Linked DNA regions of Rattus norvegicus. The protein of the gene in region 1 interacts with the protein of each later gene in a pairwise test. Links are inferred from orthologs where the notes say so. Each region holds a gene or a part of one and is shown on either strand. Other genes may lie near its edges. The genes, in order: Tox4 and Fndc3b.

What was found.
Region 2: the proteins of Tox4 (region 1) and Fndc3b interact in binary tests that used the Homo sapiens proteins (3 or more experiments, as listed by UniProt). The two-hybrid records come from large-scale screens. The link is inferred for Rattus norvegicus from reciprocal best matches to the Homo sapiens genes TOX4 and FNDC3B.

The regions. Positions count from the first base shown.
Region 1 is NC_086033.1:27,460,207-27,472,197, forward strand, and holds the start of Tox4 (TOX high mobility group box family member 4), read left to right. Parts: upstream 1-2,528; 5' UTR 2,529-2,584; coding exon 2,585-2,590; intron 2,591-2,754; coding exon 2,755-2,823; intron 2,824-7,868; coding exon 7,869-8,111; intron 8,112-8,839; coding exon 8,840-9,100; intron 9,101-9,722; coding exon 9,723-9,953; intron 9,954-11,991. Other genes in the region: Rab2b (ras-related protein Rab-2B), read right to left, coding at 1,850-1,921, 2,132-2,177. UniProt on the Homo sapiens protein: Transcription factor that modulates cell fate reprogramming from the somatic state to the pluripotent and neuronal fate. In liver, controls the expression of hormone-regulated gluconeogenic genes such as G6PC1 and PCK1.
Region 2 is NC_086020.1:112,276,785-112,288,775, reverse strand, and holds part of Fndc3b (fibronectin type III domain-containing protein 3B), read left to right. Parts: intron 1-446; coding exon 447-533; intron 534-2,013; coding exon 2,014-2,152; intron 2,153-4,093; coding exon 4,094-4,165; intron 4,166-6,206; coding exon 6,207-6,325; intron 6,326-7,978; coding exon 7,979-8,084; intron 8,085-9,303; coding exon 9,304-9,476; intron 9,477-11,060; coding exon 11,061-11,174; intron 11,175-11,477; coding exon 11,478-11,627; intron 11,628-11,991. UniProt on the Homo sapiens protein: May be a positive regulator of adipogenesis.

The DNA.
Region 1 (11,991 bases):
GAACCCTGACTGGATAATATTTAATTCTTTATTTTTTTTTCCAAACAACTTCTGAACTGTTTGAAAGTATTTTTTTAGACTTATTTAATTTTATAAATGGGTTTTGCCTTCCTGTCAGTATGTGTAACATATGTGGCTGCTACCTGTGGAGGCCAGAAGGAAGCAAAAGATCCCCTGGAACTTAAAGGACGGATGATTATGAGCCTCAGTGTGGGTGCTGGGAATTGAACCCTTGTCCTTGGAAGCGCAATCAGTGCTCTTAACTGCTGAATCCTCTCTCCAGCCCCGCTGAAAGCATTTCTTCACAGTGTCTCAGAGTGCTGACTACTAGTTCTGTGTCTGAAGTAGCACTTCTTAACTGCAAGTCTAAAACTATTTTCATTTGCAATTAAGGAAGCTGCCTAAGAAACAGGTCTTCAAGGACAAAATATCTTCAACCATCAGTAATTCCCAGAGTACATTGGTAATAACCTCTCTCAAAGCAGTATAGAAATTGAAAAACTGGGGTTGGGGATTTAGCTCAGTGGTAGAGCGCTTGCCTAGGAAGCACAAGGCCCTGGGTTCGGTCCCCAGCTCCGAAAAAAAAAAAAAAAAAAAAAGAAATTGAAAAACTGATACAGCTTTTGGCATTTTTCTATTTCAAGGCAAAAATTCATCTCTTTCAAGGACAATATTTCAAAAACAAACAAACAAAAAAAAAACCCTCACTGCATCATAAGCAGACAATTCATCCCCTTTTCTATTTTCAAAATAGTATTTTGCACATAGCATTTGAATTCATATTTCCAAGAAAGATTACTAATCTAGCTTGCTTTTAGATATGATACAGTACTGATTCAGTCATCCTATGTAAATATATTCTCTATATAAATATTTTTACTTTAAGGTGCTGTATAAAATACCTGTTACCTCAACAAAAATCAAAAGATATTTTTTGAAGAAAAATCACTGTCAACTTTTTTTTTTTTTTAGAACAATAAGAATGTAATTTCAATGAGTAAGAAACTAAAAAAACGGGGTTGGGGATTTAGCTCAGTGGTAGAGCGCTTGCAAGGCCCTGGGTTCGGTCCCTAGCTCCGAAAAAAAGAAAAGGGAAAAAGAAGAAAAAGAAAAAAAAAAAAAAGAAAGAAACTAAAAAAAACAGGCTGAGCACAGTGCTTCATATCTAATCCCAGCATTTAAGATGTAGGGGTAGGAAGATCAAGACTTATTTAAAGTCATTGTCAGATTACCCATGGAGTTCAAAGCCAGTCTCGGGACAAAAATAAACTTAAGAAAGCCCATGAGATGGTACATGCCTGTAATCACAGTGCTTGGAGGCTAACGCAGGAGGATTTCTGGGAGTTCGTGCCGGGTGTGGGTTATATAGTGAATCTGAGGCTAGTATGAACTAAATAGCCAGAATTTGCCTCCAAAAGAAGAAAAGGTGGAGGAAAAAGGAGGTAGAGGTGGAGGAAGAACTGGAAAGATCCTTACATTGGCTTTTACCTCTCCAGTCCTAAAAGGATCGGTCGGTGTTTCCTTTGAAAAGCATGTGAGGCTGGTAGTTAACCACAAACTACGGATGAGTTTAATAAGCATGTTTCTGTGGAATTTTTCCATAAGCATTCAAGTTGCATTTGAAGAAAAAAACCCTACGACTAGTATGTATCTTACACCCATCTCTAAAGTTACCTTTCAATCATTTACTCTCCACTTACCAGCTTTTATCGTTTTTCATATACCATGACTTCAGACAAAGGTAGCGAGAAGTTAACTTTTTATTTAGAATACCGAGACTGTTAGCTTTCTCCTTTCGCAGTTCTGCGAGCTAGCTTTTATCTGTTCTGGGACCAGGAGATAAGCTTACCTATTGTGAGGTCGTGCACAGGCTGGAACCGCTTGTCGGTAAACTGAAGGAGGAGACATGACTTCCCCACACCTGAAAAATAACGGTGTGCATTAGATGCAGGTCACCCAGGAAGCCGCAAGCTCCCAGGAGGGGCACAGGGTCTAAGGGAGGGGCAGAGCCCCGCCCCCGGAGCTCGCCCCGCCCCCTCCACTCAACTCCGCTCGCCCCGCCCCGCCCGCAAGCCGATTTTGGAGGTAGGATCCCCGCCCCAGCCCCGAAGGCGGTCCGTTGGCGGGTTACCTGTGTCTCCGATGATGATGTACTTGAAGAGATAAGCGTAAGTCATGGTCCCGAGGTGTCGGTGTTCCGGGTCCTCCCGATTTCCACAGCCACTTACCTCCGACCTCTCTAGCCGCTCAATCTACGGATCTCCTTATTTGCCTCCACTCCAGCCCTTCTAGCTCAAGCTGCGTCTCTATTGCTCTCCCCAGAAATCTTCGCCGGATCCCGAATCCAGGACACCGCCTCTAGGGCCGCCCCATGCTCTTCTACATGCCATTATCCCACCAAGCTCCAGGGGGCGACAGCGACCTTCGGGCAGCTCGGCTAGCGACTGGTTGCGTCCCTTGACTCGGTCCAATCACCGGAGAGCGACGCTACTCCTTGAGGAAGTGACGCTCTCGGAACTTAGTGGGGGCGGTGGGAGCGATGCGGACGCGGAGTCGCTGAGACGCTGGTGGTGGTGTTGTGAAGATGGAGGTAGGGGCTAAGTCTGGAGGGTTAATGAGGGTTCGTGGCCGACTGGTGGAAGCAGAAGCGAGAATGCTGAGGAGCGAGGGGGGCTCGGGAGTGCTGGGAGGACTGGAGTCTCAGCACGCCCCTACTCCGCTCACTTATCCCCGCGGCTTTCTTTTGGTTTACAGTTTCCCGGAGGAAATGACAATTACCTGACGATCACTGGGCCCTCGCACCCTTTCCTGTCAGGGGCCGAGGTGAGCAAAAGCTGCTGATGCTGGGGCGCCGGAGGGCCTAGGCAGCGGTTGGGGTGGACGGTGAGGTGAGCGCGGGGGCTGGCGGGAGCTGAAGGGGGACAGTGTCCGAGGCTTCGAGCACCTCTAAGGACTGTGGACGGGGGAAGAACGGAAAGCGGCTGTCATCAGAAAACCAGGATGTTGAAAAAACAGCCTATTTCCTTAAAGAGTTTCTCTGTTCCGAGTAGAAAGAACGAATGGAATTGTTCTTTGGTTGGGGTGAAATAATTAACAGTCTTGGGAGACAGCAAGAAAAAAAATTTTTTTCAGTAAAGAAATCAAGATATAGAAAGTAGTTTATCTAGCAGGGATTAACCTCGGACAGTTGTTAATTCTTGAACTCTATGTTGGTCTCTTTCATTTGAAAGGTCTTCTCTGATCGAAGTGGTTAACCTTAACTGACGTGGCTTCTGTTTGCTTTGCTATGGAAGGACCGAGGGAAAGAGATAGCTGCTAGAGAACATAAAAGGAGTAGAGAGCACTTGTTTCCCAGTTTCCTGTTTCTCTTCACAAACTGATTACTTCCCCCTTTGGATTACAGTTGTCAAATGACCATAATAAGAGGGTTTGTTTGTTTTGTTTTGCTTTTTAAAGATGGTGTAAAGTAGAAAATAATGGTTGTCAGAGGTTCTAAGGCCTTCAACAAGGGTCGCCTAAGACCATGGGAAAACATGCTTACTTTATGATTCATAATAGTAGCAAACTTATGGTTATGAAATAGCAACGACAATAATTTTATGGTTGGGGGTCACCACAGCATGAAGAACTGTGGTAAAGGGTCCATGCAGCATTAGGAACGTTGAGAGCCACTTCTCTAAGATATTCTGAAAAACTTTTGGTTGACAGATTCTCCTACTATAAGCATAATAACACTTATTTGGGCAAGCAGTGTATGAAAGTGTATAAAAGGTGCAGTGTGGGGTTGGGGATTTAGCTCAGTGGTAGAGCGCTTGCCTAGCAAGCACAAGGCCCTGGGTTCGGTCCCCAGCTCTGGGGAAAAAAAAAAAAAAAGGTGCAGTGTATGAAATTTTCCCATTTTTTGAGAACTTGAGCCAGGGTCCTTCTTTTGAGGATTATATACTACCCCCCCCAAAGTGCTGTGAATTCATTTGTATGTTTTTTTGCACCAAAAGTAGTTGTCCATTGCCTTTGTGTAGGTTTATCCTATGGTTGAGAGATGATTGACAGTAAGTAATTGCTAGTTTGCTTTTGGGTTGTTTTTGTTGTTGTTGTTTTTTTTTTTTTTTTTTTTTTTTTTATAAAAGACAGTCTTACATAGCTCTGGCTGTCCTGAAACTCACTATATAGGCCAGGCTGACCTCAAACTCAAAGAAATCCTCCTGCTTCTGCCTTTCCAGTAAAGAATTCTTCCCATTCAAAACAGAACTCTTTTCTGGGATTAAAGGTGTGCTCTCCTGGCTGCTGGTTTATTTTTTCAACTTATTATTATTGAATATTTTCCTAAACAAAGGGATGGCACAAATGAATGGCAAAGTTAGAAAAGAAACTGAGTCTTGCACTTGGTGATTTTATTTCGAGTTCCTTCCAAGAGGTCTTCTATGGTCTAATTTCATTGTTTGGAGTGCTGTAAGTCACACTGTCCTTATTTATAGGAAAGTACATTTTAAAAGTAAATACAAGGCTGGGTGTAGTGTTACACATCCATAATTGTAATCCCAGCATTCGGGAGGCAGAAGCATGTGTGTATCTCTTTAAGTTCCAGAATTACATAGAGAGACCATGTCTCCGAAAAGGGAAAAAAAGTGAACACAGCTTTCCAATTTTTCCTACTAGTCTTGTGTCTGAAGTTGATCAAAGACTAACTCCATGAGTGATGGCACTTTTTTTTTTTTTTTTTACAAGTTGCACAAATCATTTATTTTTATAAAGGCAGAGAAGGGAATAGGAAAGTGAGTGATGGCACTTTTAACATCCAGGGACTAGGGAGAGAAGCACTGGCCTACTGTGTGCTGGACCCTTGATCCAGCACTGGCAGAAAAAGGAAGGATTTTCCAGGCTTGTTCCTGCCCTTTGTTTTGTTTTGTTACGGCTTGTGACGTTTCTGTTGAGAAGAGAGGACATGCAGCTGAGTTTTAAGCTCCATTTCAGTAGCCTCCTTTAGGCCTGGACTCTGTTCTTGTTGCTTACAACTTGTCCACCTACTTGTTTCTGCCTCTCAGTGAATTTTTAAACTTTGTTTTCGTTTTGTTTAGGGGGAATTGTTTCACTTGGCTGACAGCAAACTTGCTGTGTGACTAGGCTGGCCTTCATTTGCCTCTCTTCCTGAGTCCTGGGATTAAAATATATACCGCCATGCCTGGCTTTTAACCTCTATGCTAATGAATGTATGGGTTTTGTGTTTCCAGCCTTATTTTGAGCCATCACAGACAAGTTAAAAAATAGATGATCCTTTTAAAGCAATTCTTTCTGAAGAACAGTCATTTTTCAAGTTTGTTTGGTTTTTGTTTTTATATTATCAGAAAGAAAATGCCCCTATGGAGCATAAAATAATAGAAAAAAATTGGCTGTGTTCCAGTTAAGAACTTATATCAAGGGGCTGGGGATTTAGCTCAGTGGTAGAGCGCTTACCTAGGAAGCGCAAGGCCCTGGGTTCGGTCCCCAGCTCCGAAAAAAAGAAAAAAGAAAAAAAAAAAAAGAACTTATATCAAATACATAATTATAGGGGCTGGGGAGGTTTTATGTGTATGGGTGTTGTGCCTGCATCTATGTCTGTGCACCATGTGCCTGGTGCCCGTGGAGGTCAGAAGAGGGCAAGAGATTCCTCTGGGTCTGCATTTATACACATTGTAAGCCACCATGTGGGTGCTGGGAATCCATTTCTTGGTCTTCTGGAAGAGCAGCAAATGCTCTAAACCACGAAGCTCTAAGAAACTATTCTTTAAAATAATAGATAACTGGGATATAGGTCAGTTTAAGGGTTTTTGCTTAGTAATGGGAAGATTCCGAGTTTGAGCCTCCAGACAAAGGGAGGAGGATAGAGAAGCACCAGGAGGTAGGATGAGGAGAGGGGAGGAATGCTAGTTTTCATGCTTTGTGTGTCTAAGTGTGCATGCAGAGGACAGAAGGCATCTGATCTCCTGGAGTTAGAGTTAAAGATAGTTGTGAGCAGAGCGGGTGCTGAAACTGAGTCTGTGTCCTTTTCTAGAGCAGCAAACGTTCTCAACTGTTGTCATCTCTTCTGCCTTCCTTCAACCAATAATCATCTTTATTTTTATTTTTAATAGCATTTTATTTTATTTACTTACTACATATGTGTTCACATGTCCTGAAGGGGGATGAGGGGTGGAGGGCAGGTGAGCGCACGCGCACGTGCTCTCTCTCTCTCTCTCTCTCTCTCTCTCTCTCTCTCTCTCTCTCTCTCCCCCGCCCCCATCATCTCTCTCCCTCCCTCTCCCATTAAGGACCAGGGATTGAACTCACGTTGGTAGGCATAGTGGCATGCACCTTACCCAGTGAGCTATCTCACTAGCTCCTTGGCATCTTTCTTATAAATGTAATCCTCAAACTGGCTTTTCCCTCAAAGAAGCCCAGAGTCTAGGAACATTTAGACTAAGGGCATTGCCCCTGGAGTGCTAGGACTAAAGGTATGTGCTGCCACACTCAGCTTGGTTTTGTTTTCTTGAGATAGGGTCTTTCACAGGATGGCTTGAAACAAACTATACAGCCCTGTCTGGGTGGAAACTCATGGTCACCTCCCTGGCTCCGTCTCTTGCAGGCTAAAACCAGTGTGCAACATTGTTCAGACCATAGGCTCTATTTTTATAGATAAGGAAAACCTGTTCAAGGTCATGAGCTTGGTGAGCCACAGCTCTTTCTACAAAGCCTCTTGCTTGTTACTTAAAACATTTTATTGCTCCAAATGCTTCTGTTTCCGTTTTTTAGTGCCACAAGGAAACTGTCTAATATATCGTAGTATATTTGCTGTTAGTTCTGGGAATAGTGACCCCATTCAGAATAGGGGTGAAGTTGGGTGTAATGACACGAATTATAATTCCAGCAGTCAAGAAGCTTGTCATTTAAGACAAGGTCTTTAAAAGAACCTGGGTGTCATGGGACATGCTTTTAATCCCAGCACTAGGGAGACAGAGGCTGGAGGATCTCTGTAAATTTGAGGACAGCCTAGTGTACAAAATGAGTCCTGAGATAGCTAAGGCTATCTACAGAGACTTTGTCTCAAAGAACAAAGAGATACAAAGATACAGAGAAACTTTGTCTCAAAAAACAAAAACTAAACATAAATAAATAAGTGAAAGAAAGGAAGGAAGGAAGGAAGGAGCGGGTAGAGAGAGGAGAGAAAAAGAGGGTAGAGTGGAACAAACCCAAAACCTAGAAAGGATTGATTTTATAGTCTGACTTAGGAAGGGACCAGTCTTTAGCCAGGTGCACTAATCTTTCCTCCTTGTTTACCTTTTGGTTTTTTAAACAGGGTCTTACTGTGTTGAGTGAGGCGTGCTGGCCTCACTTCACTCTGTAGCTCATATCCATCCTCTTTTTATTATCATGTACTAAGAATTGTGTTGCTAACACTGAAATAATGGTAAGGTCCTAAGAAACTCTTCAGTGCAAATATTTCAGAGTAGGTAAGTTTTCCATGGCTTTATCTTTTAGGATTTGCTCTAAATGAACCCTAGAACAACAAAGTGATTGGTTGGTGAACAGCGAATTTCTGTGGTCTAAAGTTGTAACCATTGTGAAATAACTGGCGTCTGTTAGCATCGGTAGTGGATATTAAGCATCGTAGACGGTTTCCTTCTTTGTGCTGACTTTACTAGAATAGGAGAAGTAATTTAAGACAAAGCTAGCAAAGGCTGAAGAGAGGAAATAAATGACCATTGTGAATGGTGTTGGATTCTCAGGTGTATGACATGGCCACAGATCTGAAGGTTAAAAAGAGCTTTATTTGTAAACCGTGGTCTACGGAATCTTGTTACAAAGTGATGTATTTCTCCTCTTCCTACTAATTCTTTCCCCATTTTTTCATGCAGACATTCCATACACCAAGCTTGGGCGATGAGGAATTTGAAATCCCACCTATCTCCTTGGACTCTGATCCCTCACTGGCTGTTTCAGATGTGGTTGGCCACTTTGATGACCTGGCAGACCCCTCCTCTTCCCAGGATGGCAGCTTCTCAGCTCAATACGGGGTCCAGACATTGGACATGCCTGTGGGCATGACCCATGGCCTGATGGAGCAGGGCGGGGGGCTCCTGAGTGGGGGCTTGACTATGGTAAGAAGTAACAGAGGGGTAAGCTCACCCAAGCTCATAGGAGTGGTTTAAGGAAGACAAAAGTTAATCCCTATTGCCTGCTAAACATGGGTGGTACCTCTTTCCTAGTGTTATAGCTAAAGACTGAACGACAAAGACTTCATTTTACCTGATTGCGATTTTCTTGAAAAAAATAATTTTAAATTGTAAAATATCCAATGTTGGATATTCTGTAATGAAAATTATTTAAGTTTTAAAAGGGTTTTGTTTTTCGTAATAGCCTTCATATTCTGGAATTCTAATGTGTAAGTGTCGCATTGAGTGATTTATTAAAAAATGGGCTGAACCAAATATAGCAGTTGTAGACTCTAATATAAACTTTTAGGGTATCCAGCAGTTCGTCAGTAGCACGTCTCCATCTTATTGTTTGATAACAGACATCTGTCTCCACTTCAGCTTCTCTGCTGTCATTGCCCATGCATTACAACTTCAAGAACTGTTATTTCAGAAATACAAGTGGGTTTAGCCCCTCACACTCAGAGCTTTCACCATCTGGCTCTTATCTCCCAGTGTTGGAGTTCAGGGCCGGTAACGCCAAGCCTGGCCCCTAACATGTTTTTTATGCAGACAGATTATCTCCTGTTCTGTAGGATTTAAATGATGAGAGTCTACATAAGCCCAGGGATTTATAAGGAGGGGACATTGTATTTTAATACTTAGCGTTTAATTAGTCCTTCTGCTTCTCTCAGGACCTGGACCATTCCATAGGAACTCAGTATAGTGCCAACCCACCTGTTACAATTGATGTACCGATGACAGACATGACATCTGGCTTAATGGGACACAGCCAGTTGACCACTATTGATCAGTCAGAACTGAGTTCTCAACTTGGTTTGAGTTTAGGAGGTGGCACCATCTTGCCACCCGCCCAGTCACCTGAGGATCGTCTTTCAACTACTCCTTCACCTACCAATTCACTTCATGAGGATGGTGTTGATGATTTCCGGAGGGTGAGGCCTTCCCTGCCAAAGTAATTTCTGTTACTCTAGGGAAATGCTTGTCATGCAAAGGCCAGTCATCTGTCCTTGGTTCTGGGTTCCCATCTCAATCACTGTCCTTAGTGAGCCTCAAGTAGGACGTTCAGAACCATGGCTTCCGTTTCTCTTAGATGCCACGGCTGTGTGTGCTCACCCCCACCCCCCGACTGCTGAGCCATCTCCAGCATAGTTTGCTCCTATCAAACCCTTTTTTTTTTTTTTAAGATTTATTTATTTATTATATATAAGTACACTGTAGCTGTCTTCAGATACACCAGAAGAGGGCATCGGATCTCTTTACAGATGGTTGTGAGCCACCATGTGGTTGCTGGGAATTGAACTCATGACCTCTGGAAGAGCAGTCGGGTGCTCTTAACCGTTGAGCCATCTCTCCAGCCCCCCAAACCCTTTTCTTAAAGGTCTCCAGACCCAGTTCTTCCCTTCTGCTGACTTTTTTTTTTTTTTTTTTGGTTCTTTTTTTCGGAGCTGGGGACCGAACCCAGGGCCTTGCGCTTCCTAGGCAAGCGCTCTACCACTGAGCTAAATCCCCAGCCCCTTCTGCTGACTTTTAATTCTCTCCATTTTTCTCCGACAGCAACTTCCTGCCCAGAAGACAGTGGTAGTGGAAACAGGGAAAAAGCAAAAGGCTCCCAAGAAGAGAAAAAAGAAAGACCCTAATGAACCTCAAAAGCCAGTCTCTGCGTATGCACTGTTCTTCCGAGATACTCAGGCAGCCATCAAGGGACAGAACCCAAATGCAACCTTTGGGGAGGTTTCCAAGATTGTGGCTTCCATGTGGGACAGTCTTGGAGAAGAGCAAAAACAGGTGAATTGTGGGTAGTAAACATCTTTAAGTGGACAGAACCTTATTCAGTACTCTGTTCGTGTGGAGACATCATGATCACAGCAACTATTTTTTATTTAATCATTTTATGTATGAGTACTCTATCTGCATGTACACCTGGGAGCCACAAGAGGGCATTGGATCCCATTACAGATGGTTGTGAGCCACCATGTGGTTGCTGGGAATTGAACTCAGGACCTCTGGAAGAGCAGCCAGTGCTCTTAACCTCTGAACCATTTCTCCAGCCCACTTTGGTTTTTTTTTTTAAGATTTATTCATTTATTATATATAAGTATACTGTAGCTGTCTTCAGATACACCAGAAGAGGGCATCAGATCTCTTTACAGATGGTTGTGAGCCACCATGTGGTTGCTGGGAATTGAACTCAGGACCGCTGGAAGAACAGTTAGTGCTCTCAACCACTGAGCTATCCCTTCGGCCCATGAGAAAACTCGTGTAAAAGAAAGCATTTAATTGGGGCTTGCTTATGGTTTCGGAGGTTTAGTCCATTCTCATCATGGAGCATGCAGCATAGAAGTAGCTGAGAGTTCTACATCCTGATCTGCTGTCAGCAGAAACAGGGACAGTGGGCCCAGCTTGGCCTTTAGAACCTCAGTGCCCACTTCCAGTGACATGCTCCCTCCAACAGGCCACACTGCCCAGTCTTACTCAAGCAGTGCAAGTCTCTGGTGGCTAAGTGAGCATTCAAGTGGCGGGGGGGGGGGGGGGGGGGGGGGACACGACAATTTTTTTTTAAGATTAATTTATTTTTAAGATTTATGTGTGTACACTGTTGCTATCTTCAGTGGACACTAGAAGAGAGCATGGATCTTATTACAGATGGTTGTGAGCCACCACGTGGTTGCTGGGAATTGAACTCAGGACCTCTGGAAGAGCAGTCAGTGCTCTTAACCATTGAGCCATCTCTCCAGCCCATGAGGGCCATTCTTGATTCAAACTACCACACATCTTTACCTGTCAGAGGGCTCTTTGTTAATGGCATAAACACATTTGTTTTCCATACAGGGTTTCTCTGTATAGCCCTAGCTGTCCTGGAATTCACTCTGTAGAGCAGGCTAGCTTAAAATAGAGGTCCACCTGCCTCTACCTCCTGAGTGCTGGGATTGAAGTTGTAAGTCACCACTGCCTGGCTCACACATTTTATCTTAGAAGATTCAGGAAAAAAAATCATTTTAATTTGGTTATTGTTGTTGTGCTGGATAACAAACCCAAGGCTTTATACATGCTAAGTGTCTGTTCTCTTCCTGAGCTAAATCTCTACCCTAAAAATCCCAACTGTACGTGGGACTGCAAATTGGCACCCACTGTGTAAAGGCATCTGATGATCTTGAACCCAATATTCTTCATGGTGAAAGGGAAGAATTACCTTGTCCTCTAATCTCTACATGCATACCCAAGAGCATACGCATGTACACACAGAATAAGTAACTAATAAAATTTCATTATGAAAATACTGCATCTTTCCAAAGCTGTAAAATAATTCTCCTTTTACTAATGGTGAATTCTGCCAGGTATGGTGATGCATGCTTTTAATCTCAGGAGGCAGAGGCAAGCAGACCTTTTGAGTTTGAACTAGCCTGCTCTACAGAGTAAGTTCCAGGACAGCCACGGCTACACAGAGAAACCCTGTCTCAAAAAGAAGAAAAAAAAAGAGAGAAGGAAGGAAGGAAGGAAGGAAGGAAGGAAAAGATATAAAGAGGGGTTCTGAGGTTCTCTGCCCAGTTAAGGTCATAGAGCTTCTAAATGGTACAGTTGGGCAGCCTTGTCCCCTTAACTTGAAATTCCACATAACATCCAGTAGTGCCTGATTTCTCTTCTGCTCTTCTGTCTTTAACTGTTCAGTTTTTAGGCTAACTTTCCAAAGCCTTGTGTTTTTTCTATTTGTAAAGTTAAGATATTTCTTGGTAAGTTACACGTTGAAACTGTCCCTCAAAGTTTCAGGTATAGTTTCATTAATGGTATTCTCATCAAGTGTAAGCTTGAAAACTGTGTGTGTGTT
Region 2 (11,991 bases), on another chromosome or scaffold:
ACCTGTATTGGTAAGGTCTACCCTGAAAGGAATATGTCCTTCCCCATCCAAGCTCTTCTCCCTTAGCCAGAAGGGGGCACCATGAGCTCAGGAGCCCGCCTGTCCCCTGTTGCACTGTTGTTGGCAATGTGTCAGCTTCCCAATCAACTGGCTTGCTGGTGACAAATTTATTGTTAAATAAAATGTTTACAGTGCTGTCGACTTTGTCATAGCACAGTTGACCAGAGCCAGGCTGAACTGCAGTGTGACAGGTGACGGCTGCAGTGTGACAGGTGACAGCGCACTGAGCTTTGGATGCTGCGCATGCCAAGGGCCTCTGATACTCTCTCAGCAGTGGCTGCCAGACTCCTGCTGAGGAGGAAGCCACCATATAAAGTCCCGGGCTCCTAGGAATCAAGGCCCTGATGTTAGGGTTCTAATGTCTCTCTCTGGTTTGGTCTTTCCAGGATAACCATTTCCACCCAAGATACACTGGAGAGGACCTAACCTGTACTGTGAAAAACCTCAAGCGCAGCACACAGTATAAATTCAGGGTGAGTCTTCCTGTGTGAGCGCTAGCGCCAACACTGTGATGTCCCCACTTACGGTTCAAATGGAGTCTGCAGGCCAAAAGGGGGGATAAAATAGACAGCACTTTGAGAGTAGCAGTGCACTATCAAAGACCCACCATATTTTAATTTGGAAATAGAGGTTCTAGGCGGAAACCCGTGTAAGAAGATGTCACAACGGGTTGTCATAGCAAGGATCTGTGCACCGCTGGGAAGACCCTGAGCTGATGCCTGTGTCCCTGCACCCACTGCAGATCCGCCCCTCCCTGGGTTTTACAGCTTGTACTGTCTTTCCAGCGCCCTCCGGCCTTTCTGCTCCTGTTGCTGCTTTTGTCTTCTGTGTCCCATCCCTTCCTCAGCTGAGGTTCTCAGCCTTCCTGATGCTGTGACCCTTTAATACCCCAACCATAAAGTCACTCCCACTGCTACTTCATAACTGTGATTTTGCTCCTCTTACGCACTTTCTGATGGTCTTAGGCAGCCCCTGCAGAAGGGGCATTCGACTCCCAAAAGGGCTGTGACCCATAGTTGAGAGCTGCTGGCTTAGGCGACCTTTGCTCATAACCAGTCACCACTTACATCACAGTACAGATCTATGTTGCAGCTACAGAAGTGCAAGCTGCTGCTTTGCTTTGCTCTCAATGCTTTTCCTTCTACACCACAGTCCTTCGTCTGTCCTATGCACGGCACCCAATTTCCTTGTGTGCCCTGAGGAGTCTCCGCCCTCCTTTCTCTAATTTTAGGGCTAAGTAATTTAATTTGGCATGTAGTCACTTCAGTATTTGTCAAATTATCAAGTGGAATGTTGTGACTGACTATTTGAGGCATATAATTGTTTCTTGCTATGCTAAAAATACCAATCTTGGCTCCTGGAACACAGCTAGCTGTACTACTGATGGTGTCCACAAGATGGCACTATCTGACTCTTCCATAAATAAAGTTCTGTCTGGTTTATCCCTGTGTTTTCTTTTCAGCACACAGCACAGAATAAATGGAAACTACTGGTTCTATATATAGTACCACTGCAGCGGCCATCTCCTCCTCCTCATCCTCCCCCTCCCCTCCTCTTCCTCTTCTTCCTCCTCCCTCCTCTTCCTCTAGTGAAGCACTGTCCCCCTCTATTCCAGGAGTTCCTAGAACTTGCTGCATAGCCTAAAGCCATAGGCTTCAGAGTTACCATCCTCTTGCCTCAACCTCCCTGCTTGTACCCTAGGCTTATATTTGTTCTTGGAAGGATATGCAGATGTCTTTAGCTGAAACCTACCTTTTGGTTTTATTTTTAATTGTTAATAATCAAATATAAGTAGATGAAGTAATCACAAACACTTAAATCAGCAGCCTAAAGAAAGCACACACGTGACTGGGTGGATATGTGTCAGTCTGTCCATGTCTAACTTGGCAGTGGTCCCAAGTCCCAGGAGACATGATAGCCCATAACCAACATGTGCTAACGTCTCCTCTGCAGCTGACTGCTTCTAATACGGAAGGGAAGAGCTGTCCGAGTGAAGTCCTGGTTTGTACAACCAGCCCCGACAGACCTGGACCTCCCACCAGACCCCTCCTCAAAGGACCCGTCACGTCGCATGGCTTCAGTGTCAAGTGGGGTATGTCTGTCTCCTGCCCTGCTATGGCCGTGACAAATCAAACACAAGTAGAAAATATCACCTCTGAGGGCTTTGTGCATCTGTTATACATGTGTGAGGACTGGAGGGGACAGCTGAATATTAGCAGGTAGTCAGACTTTAGTAGACCTCTTAAGGGACCAGTTTCAGAGTTACTGTCCTCTTGCCTCAACCTCCCTGCTTGTACCCCAGGCTTATATTTGTATCTCTTTTATTTCATATTTTCTATGTTACATTTTTCTCCTTTATTTTAAATGTTTTGTTAATTTGAGTTTGAGAATTTATGATAATTCATTCCTTAATAGCTCACTTTTAAAAAAACAATGAATTTTAATATAAAATATTTTTAAGTTGAGATTGGATTTCAAATCTAGATATGTAATCCTGAATAGATTTTTTTTAAATATACAAAATGTTTCAGTTATAATAAAATAGGAGACGTTATTTCTGTGCTGCCTGCAGTGCACCTGCCCCCTGCCCCCTCCTCTACTCGTGAGTTTCAGGGTTTTCAGCCCGACTGAGGTCACCTGGGAGGACACTGACATTCAGCTCTGCAGAGCATGGAGACGCATGTCACCGCGGTTGTAGCACTTTTAATCATGTGTAAAGCTGTTGGGACACGTGTGCTCTGCACTGATGTCCTGTGAGGATATGAATGAGTAGCAAGGGAAGGGCAAAGCAGGAAGTGTCAGAGTCGTAAGGGACTGAGCGCAGGGCACAGTAAAGCATCGCTCTTCCTTGGAGACCAAGTGTGCTGTGCTGAGGTTCCAGAGGGCTCTGACGTCGGTTTCTCTGGAGGACAGGGATAGGCTGTCCGGGCTGCCTGGGGTCCGCCCTGGCTGCCTGCCTCCCAGGAGCCCCCTTAGCTCTGTGCTGGGTTTGTCCTTATCACGACTACTGTACATGTTATTACTGAAGTGTGTGTGATAAATGCCCACCTGGGAAGAGAGCTCCACAAATCCATGTAACATCAAGGCCTGGGAAAGCCCCCTCCGTGTGCAAGGACGATGAATTCTTTAGTTTGACAAAAATCATTCTGCCTGGTATTTGTATACTCACAAAGCAAAGCCCTTGCAGTTAGACGTGTCTGTAGACCATTGATCCAAGGTGGCATGGGGCTCTGCAAGCAGACCAGGCTGTCCCCCCAGGGTGCCCGGTGCAGGTGCTGATTACTGTGTTCTGCATCCAGACCTGGGGAGGTAAAGTTTGCTGGGTAGAGAAGTGAGGTAAGATGGTTACTCCATTCCAACATTTAATTATTTTGTCAGTGCATTTTTTCTCTACCCTTTTTCTTTTTTTTTTTTTTTTTTTTCGGAGCTGGAGACTGAACCCAGGGCCTTGCGCTTGCTAGGCAAGTGCTCTATCACTGAGCTAAATCCCCAACCCTTCTCTACCCTTTTTCAAAAGCATCTAGTTGCTCATAAACATATGAAGTAAGAATAATAAAACAAGATAAATACCTGAATATTTCAATTTTCCATAAAAGTCGCCCATTCTTAAAGAGCCACTTCAGATTTCTCCAGAGTTGCCATTTTTAGGAAAATCATTCCTCCTGTCAAGTTTTATGCGTGTTTCACTAAGTCAGTGCCAACTCTTATTTCAATAACCTGAAATAGCAGCTTGATAAAATTCCGTTTCTTGACATTGAGGGGGCCAGTTGGGGGGAGTCATACCTGTAATCTCGGTACTGGGGTCAGGGTGGGGTACTGACACAGGAGCATTCCCAAAACTTTGAGGCCAACCTGAGAGAGCAATGCTGTCTCAGGAAAAAACTTTAAGGGGCAGGGTTCTTGAAAATGATGAGTTGTGCTTTTTGGCCCACTTCCAGTGGAAGGCTGATTAGTGGCTGTCCTTTTGCACTCTGTAAGGATGCTTACCAGTGACACCCAGTGCCCTCCTCACTAATGTTCACCTACTCTGCAGATGCTCCAAAGGACAACGGTGGCTCAGAAATCCTGAAGTATCTGCTGGAGATCACGGACGGTGCTTCTGAAGGTGACACTTTGGAAACTGTATTACACAATGCCTTCCCACCCAGAGTCCTCATCCTGACATGGTCAGGCCCTCTGCAGTAGCTGCAGCAGCCATTAGTTCTAACAGTAGAGCTAGTGGTGTAGTTAAGCCACACCAAGCATTGGCATATCTGTCTATCTCTCCTTCTGCCTATTTCCCTCCCTCCCTCCCTCCCTCCCTCCCTCCCTCCCTCCCTCCCTCCATCCCTCCCTCCCTCCCTCCCTCCCTCCATCTAACTGGAGTTTGATTGGCAGCTAGTTTCCCTTCTTAAGCATCCTCAGCAAGCTCTCTACAGCCAACTCTGCCCCTAAGTAGGGTTTTGTCTTTCAGACACCACAGTTCATTCTGCTTGAAGTACCCATTTTTGACAAGCTAGTGTTTGTTTCTGTTTTTGTTTCTATTTTCTATGTTCATTTTGAAACAATGGTCACTCATTAATAGAGAAAATGAACTTGAGGCCTCCCCCTGAATGCCACACACTATCTGGGAATTACCAGCAGTGTGTCAGCAGTCATCTGCCTGGCATCCTGGCCCTGCCCAGTGACAGCCACATCATAGTGTGGCCCCGGACGTGTGTCAGACTTCCAGAACACACTTGGGCTCTGTTGTGACTCTGGAGTCAGAGTTCTCATCAATTGTCATACTACAAGTATTAAGATGGGGCTTGCCAGCAAGTGTAATGGCCTGTGTTGAATCCCTGAATCCCGAGTGAAAGTGAGTAGAGAGAACCAGCTCCCAGACCCGTGTGCCGCAACATACATGACTGTGCACATGCACCCTCACCACACATGCAGCAGTAATTCAAACGGGGTGGAGTAAGGGAAGAAAAACTTCAGGGCCCATAGAAATTTCTCTTGCTTTTTCTTCCTAAAAACTCATTGGGCTTCAACATAAAAATATATGGTGGTCAAAACTTTCCAACATAACTAAATTTTTACTAATATGGCTTCTGTAATCATTACTTTTTTTTTAAAGTGCATGCATATGGCAAAAGAGAGAGTCACTGGGAACAAGTGGAAATTGTCTCTAGCTTGTTCTGACCCCACGGCCACCTGGAGGTAGGGTTGTTTTTAACCCTGTTAGGTATTATTTTACACCAGAAAGAGGAGAATTCTTTGAGATGGGTGTAGCTGTTCTTAACATAAAATCAGTTTCTGTACTAGAGACCGTATTTAATGTCTAATTAAGACGAGGAGAGGAGTCAGCACCCCCAGTTGCTTACTGAGAAAGTGAAAGTCCGCTTTCCGCTGCCCTGGCTCTCCCAGGCAGTGACTCAGTGCAGGAGTAGCTGCTGTTTTACACTGATAGCCTGGCCAGAATTCCCGGTTCCCGTGGGCTCTATACTAACTGGGACCTAATAAGGCACAGTACCACAGGGCAGTAATAAATGTCTAACAGGCCGCTGAAGGGATTTGTGGAGGTTACTCTATGAATAGGATAGGGTGGGCATATTTCCCCTCAAACAGCTCTTGTAGGAAAAGGCTTACAGGGAGTGGTCAACTGGAAATGGCATCAATGGGAGCTAAACAGTGAGAGTCACCCCTGCAGCCTGCTGCTGATGCGGGCAGTGGAGGACAGCCTCCAGGCGCTTCTCCCACTGAGCGTCAGCCTCCGGGGGCACCCTCCAAGTATCTCACCACTGGTCTCTCACCCCCACCACAGCTTCATGCATGGCCTCCCTAGACACAGCAAGCCCTTACCAAAGACCTCTGTCTGTAAAGGGACTCATGGCCACCCTCAGAGGCACCTGCTGCATAGCTGGCCCCGTGGCCACCTCAGCATGGCTGAGCACAGCTGTGCAACATGATCTTTGTACAACTCCGATGGGATGTGGCTTCCCACACCTGACTTCGAAGCCAATGGTGTTATAGTGGACTATAGGAAATGCCTCTGTGCGATTCTGTGTCGGGTGATGCCGGGCTGCTGTGGAAGCCCCTTGGTGTTTTTGTCTCAGATGCTGTCTCTAACAGGGACTCTCGTGCTGTTACAAAAGGCCTAAACTTATACACATCTCATTTTGCAGCTGGTCAGTGGGAAGTGGCCTACAGTGGATCAGCTACAGAGTATGTCTTTACCCATTTGAAACCAGGCACTTTGTACAAACTGCGAGCATGCTGCATCGGTACCGGTGGGCACAGTCAGGTGGGTTTATCAGTGTGACAATGGAAATCTAGATCAAAGTGGGAAGTGTCCGTCAGTAATGCAGAAGAGGTTGCAGTTTTAAATGTTTCTCGTTGATGTGGCCAGCTTTAGTATCTCATCTGGCTGTGAAAAAGTCTCGACTTACAGGGATATAAGAAACATAGGCCTGAACCCTTCTCTGCACATTCTGATGTGAACAGGCCATGTGTCACTGACTTAACCCTTCCATGACCTTGATGTAGTTACGTAGGGCAGGTGAAATTAGTTAGGATTTGCATTAACCAAATAAAGGAGCTCTCCATCATTTCAAGGAGGGAAAAGTGAATTTAGAGTCAGGATCAGACCTGCCTGGCTGTACTGGGATGGTACCGCATCTGTGAAGGTCCCTTACTGCCACCTGCTGGGAGACTCTTGTAAAGACAGGATAAATCTGATGAAGTTGCTTGCACTTCTGCAGTTCAGTAACTCCCTGTGCAGGGCCAGGAGGCAGCAGCCATGACTTGTCTCTGTCAGAATGGCTGTAGACCAGCCAGGTGGCACTCCAGGGACTCGGTTTATGCCACACGCAATGCTAACAGGTTTGATGTAATCTAATCAGTGCACACAAAGTACTCTAGAGACGAGAGTCTGGGGGTCTTATTGACATCGTGAGAGAGGTACTGTGCTAGAAGTGTTGTTTTCACTGTAGACAATTTGAAACCATTAATGGTGAGAGAACAAGAAAGAGAGATGGTACCTAGTAAGCCAGTAGCAGATTGATAACATTTTCCTGAATTTTACACATACACAAGCATTCTGCCCATGTGTGTCATAGCAGTTCCTCAGTGTCTAGAGTTTCGTCTAGACAGAAAGACACACACATGCACGCGCACGCGCACATACAGGATAAGAGTCCAATTAGAACACATATAGAATCAGTTAGAAAATGTATAGAGTCCCGGGGGCTGGTGGAATGTCTCCCTGTTGGAGTAGATGCAGACTGAGGCCATAGTGCATCAGTGGTACCTGCCTGTGCATGGTTGGGCAGGGCAGCATATGCATCAGGTGGGGACATACGGTCTATTTCCCACACATGGTGCCCTGGAAGGAGCTGGCGCTGTCTGGCTCCATCTTGTTTCCTCGATTCTCTTACAATGGTCAACTTTCACCCCACCAGTTTCTGCAGAGTAAGATCCTACAAAAAGGAGGCCCAGTCACTTTAGCATTGGCAGATCTGCTTTAAGAGCCAGGCTCAGTGGGTAAATGCCCCCTTTACCTGCTGTTCTGCTCTCCCTGTGGCTGCCCAGCCATTTAGAGTATCATTCTTAATTCTGTCCGGTTGTTGTGTGTTCTCTTGAATCCTCATGAGGGTCTTTCTAATGTTGCTGTAAAGGAAAATAAGAATGCTTATGGCAGGCAAATAGTCGGCTCTAGTAATCTGACATCAGAGAGAGCTGCCTTAGGTATAACCACCACTATGTGCACTGAGAGCCCACACTTCCACATGCAGACAGGCGTGGGCCCTCCTGAAGACCTTAATGCATGTCAGCACACACACTAGTGTGTAGTTCCCTTTGGTCCCATTCACAATTGTGGGATAGAATTAGCCTGGTAGATAAGGTGTGAGCGATTCACAGTAACTAAGCAATGGTCTCTCCGGTGTTTCTCCCACAGTGCTCTGAAAGTCTCCCTGTTCGCACACTAAGCCTTGCACCAGGTCAGTGCCGACCACCGAGGGTTTTGGGTAGACCAAAGCACAAAGAAGTCCACTTAGAGTGGGGTGAGTGAACAAATCTTCACGTTGGCATCGACCTGGACAGTGGGAGACTGATGGCGCTCTGCCACTCAGCTCCAAGGCTTCGTTCAGAAGCTGTGTCACCCATTGATCATGTTCTCTATAGCATGGACTGTGGCTCTCTCATCCCACAGCCTTCTAGGCTCATCTTCCATGCCTGACAGTGCTGCACTTGCTGTGGCCACCCTCACCATTAGCAGCCATGTTTGTAGAGAAAATTCCAGAGTAGCCTGCCTGTCTGGGGGTTGTTCAACATGTAAAGAAAATGTGTCTAATTTAGAGATTAAACCAAGAAATGTTTCGAAGAGCAGCATCAAGCTCCTACTCTCTGCGGGCTCTGGTATTTTCCTAGCCTTGCCTTAACACCACTTCAGTTGTGCCAACAGCCTACCAGTGTGCACATCGCAAGTGCACATGTGTAGAACACGGGCAGACATTGTGGCCACACTTACATCTAAAGTGTAATAAAATGGTGTGTGAGTTTGAGGTCGTGTAGACTTAGCAGGATGTGTGACTTCAAGTTACAGATATTTTTCTTTCCTTCCTCCCCATTATTAACTGTGAAAGGTTGTCTGGTTCTCCTGTTGTCCCTGAATTATTTGTAATATAATCAGGCATGTTTAGATGCATTTACTTTGGGTCCTTCGAATCATTCAGGAGCCTTTTCACTTAAACAGGAGGCTCCTTTTGTAATAGAAACTCAGGGACACGTCACTTAAATATTTTGAACAATAACAGTAGAAAACCAAATGTAACTCAGTCAAGTAGGAATCCAGCACTGGGGCTGGAGAGAAGGGTCCGGGGTTAGAGCACTCGCTGCTGCTGCAGCAGAGAAGCAGGTTCAGTCCCCAGCGACCGCGTGGTGTCGACCGCGTGGTGTCTCTCACCACCTTTAACTCCAGTCCCCAGCGACCACATGGTCTCACTCCACCTTTAACTCCAGTCCCCAGCGACCGCGTGGTGTCTCTCACCACCTTTAACTCCAGTCCCCAGCGACCGCGTGGTCTCTCACCACCTTTAACTCCAGTCCCCAGCGACCGCGTGGTCTCTCACCACCTTTAACTCCGGGCTCCGAGGCTTCCGGGCCTTCTTCTGCCTCTACACATGGTGCACACTCATGCATGCCCAAGCACTCATACCTGAATAAAAATAAAATTAAAAAATCCAAAAAAGTGTTCAAAGATGAAAATGTTTTTGTCCTCAGATGTGCCTGCGTCTGAAGGTGGCTGCGAGGTCTCAGAGTACAGTGTAGAAATGACGGAACCTGAGGAGGTAGCCTCAGAGGTGTACCACGGGCCCGAGCTGGAGTGCACCGTTGGCAACCTGCTTCCCGGGACGGTGTACCGCTTCAGAGTGCGGGCTCTGAATGACGGAGGGGTGAGTGTGCCTCGGCTGCCAGTTAGAGCACAAGGTGCAACTCCTCAGCGGTGTGAGTGTCACTGCCTGACCACTGTCCAAGTAGATAAAACAAAACCCTCATCTGCGAATCGCTGGTATCACGCTGCTCTGTGGGCCCAGCACTGCCAAGTTTGTCTCTCGTTCTTTCTATGAAGTGTGTGTGTGTGTGTGTGTGTGTCTGTCTGTCTGTCTGTCTGTCTGTCTGTCTGTGTGTGTACCTGTGTGTGTCTGTATGTATCTCTGTGTGTCTGTGAGCATTTTTGATAAATCATGAAAGAATTTCCTATTCTTAGTAACTTCATTTGTAAGAATCAGAGCTTCTGATTAGTCCTGCTAAACATTCCCCAGGGGAACTGGGCAGAGTGAGTCAGGAAACACTTGCCGTATATGAGTTAGAGCTCAAAACCCACATCTTTAAAAGCTAGGCATGGGGAGTCCCACAGAAACCCCAGCACTGTGAAGGCAGAGACAGGATTGCTGGGCCTACTGGGCCTACTACATGAGCTCCAGCCTGGTCTCAGGAAAAGAGGGGGAAAGGGACTGGGAAACAGATTGTCGCCTGCCCTCCTCAGGTACGTGTTCCTGTGTGCACACAACCTTTGAGTATTATAGCATATTGTCTATGCCTGAGGATGCTTTGTTCTAAACAAGTACGGCGAAGCCTGGGGAGGAGGCTGCTTACTTTTTTAAAATCTGATTCCTCTAAAAACCCCATGGTTCTCTGGTTCTTTCTTCTGCTGTCTTGTTCATTTAGTATTTGGGGGTCAGATCAAAAGTTAAGAGGAAGTATGTGGTCCACAGAGGAACTGACTTTTGTTTTCTTTGAAGTAGCAGAGTGATATGGCTTTATGGGATATGAGGGGGTGAAGATGAGGAACAGGCTGCCCACGAAGAGTGCAGAGATGGGCAGAAAGGTGGGACAAGCTAATGCCAACATCTCCTAGAGCCTCAGTGAGTGCATAGATGAATATCATGAGAGCTGTTACATTTCACTAAGGATGAAACTTACTTTTAAAGAAGAAAAAAGCCAATTGACAATCTAAAGAAAAAGCACGTGAGGCCCAAGGACATTCTGACAATCTGTCATAGCAGCGTCGGTTAGCTAGATCTGGTGGGCCTCTCTGTAAACCCCAGCGTCAGGACACTGATGCAGGAACACCGTAGGTACAAGGCTAACCTAGGCTACATGGGAAGACCTTACCTCAAAGTACTGGTGGAGGGTAGGGGAGGCCAGCAACCAGAGCAAACGCCCATGATGCCATGATGTAATAACTAGCTTTCTTCATGTCCTTGACTGAGTGATCCTTACTCCTGATGTCTCATTAAAGGAAAAGTGTGCTAACTTCTTCATCTTTTTTAATAAAAAAACAGACATATATAATAGATGTTTACCTGTCCAGGAAAGATCAGTAGTTTGTCCATATACTTCTTAACGTAAAAAACATTAGCTATTTTCATTCAGTTGCGTTAATGATACTATTGACCTTACCTTTAATTGTGCCTTTATATGCACACACATGCAGAGACCGTTCTGACATGTGAGCACGTGTTCTTCTCTTTCAGTATGGTCCCTACTCTGATGTGTCAGAGATCACCACTGCCGCAGGACCGCCTGGGCAGTGCAGGGCACCGTGTGTTTCCTTCACGCCTGATGGATGCGTCCTGGTGGGTTGGGAGGTGAGTCTGCTGCCCGTCATTTCTGTTTCTCCTGCCTTTGCCCCCAAATATAAGCTGTTAGGATGTCACAAAGCCAAAGCATGTGTGTGCATGTGCATGGCTGCATGCGTGTATACGTGTGTTCATGCGACTTTTGTCTGTATACAAGAAAATCTCGTTTTGACAGTTGGTTGTGTCATTTCCCGTTGTGGAAGTGGTCAGAGTTCAGAGTGGTCTTACCTTCCCTTTATGGGTACTGGTCTATCCTGGAGTATGGTGCTCTCATCTCAGTGAAATGACTAACTACAGACGTCTGCCCTGCAGAGCCCTGAAAGCCCTGGTGCTGACATCTCCGAGTTCAGGTTGGAGTGGGGAGAAGACGAGGAATCCTTAGAACTCATTTATCACGGGCCAGACACCTGCTTTGAGATCCGAGATCTGTTGCCTGCTGCACAGTATTGCTGCAGACTCCAGGTAGGGACACTCCGACTCCACTCCCTTGAGAAAAGCAGCTGAAGACCATGGAAGAGGGACACAAGGGGAGGGGGTCCTCTGTGGGGCTGGGCAGATGGCTCCTGAGGCAGAACAGTGCATACCACACAAGCATGAAGACACAAGTTCAGACGCCCAGCGGACTCTCGACAGTTGGGTGCTATAGTGCGTGTCTTTCCTGTTGCTCTGACAGGATGACCTAGTAAACGCAACCAATAGCGGTTTGAGCCACTGTAAGGGAGAAAGGGTTAGTCTGCCTCACAGTTTAAAGTTACAGTGCAGCCGCACAGCAGGCATGGAAGGCAGCCGCACAGCAGGCATGGAAGGCAGCCGCACAGCAGGCATG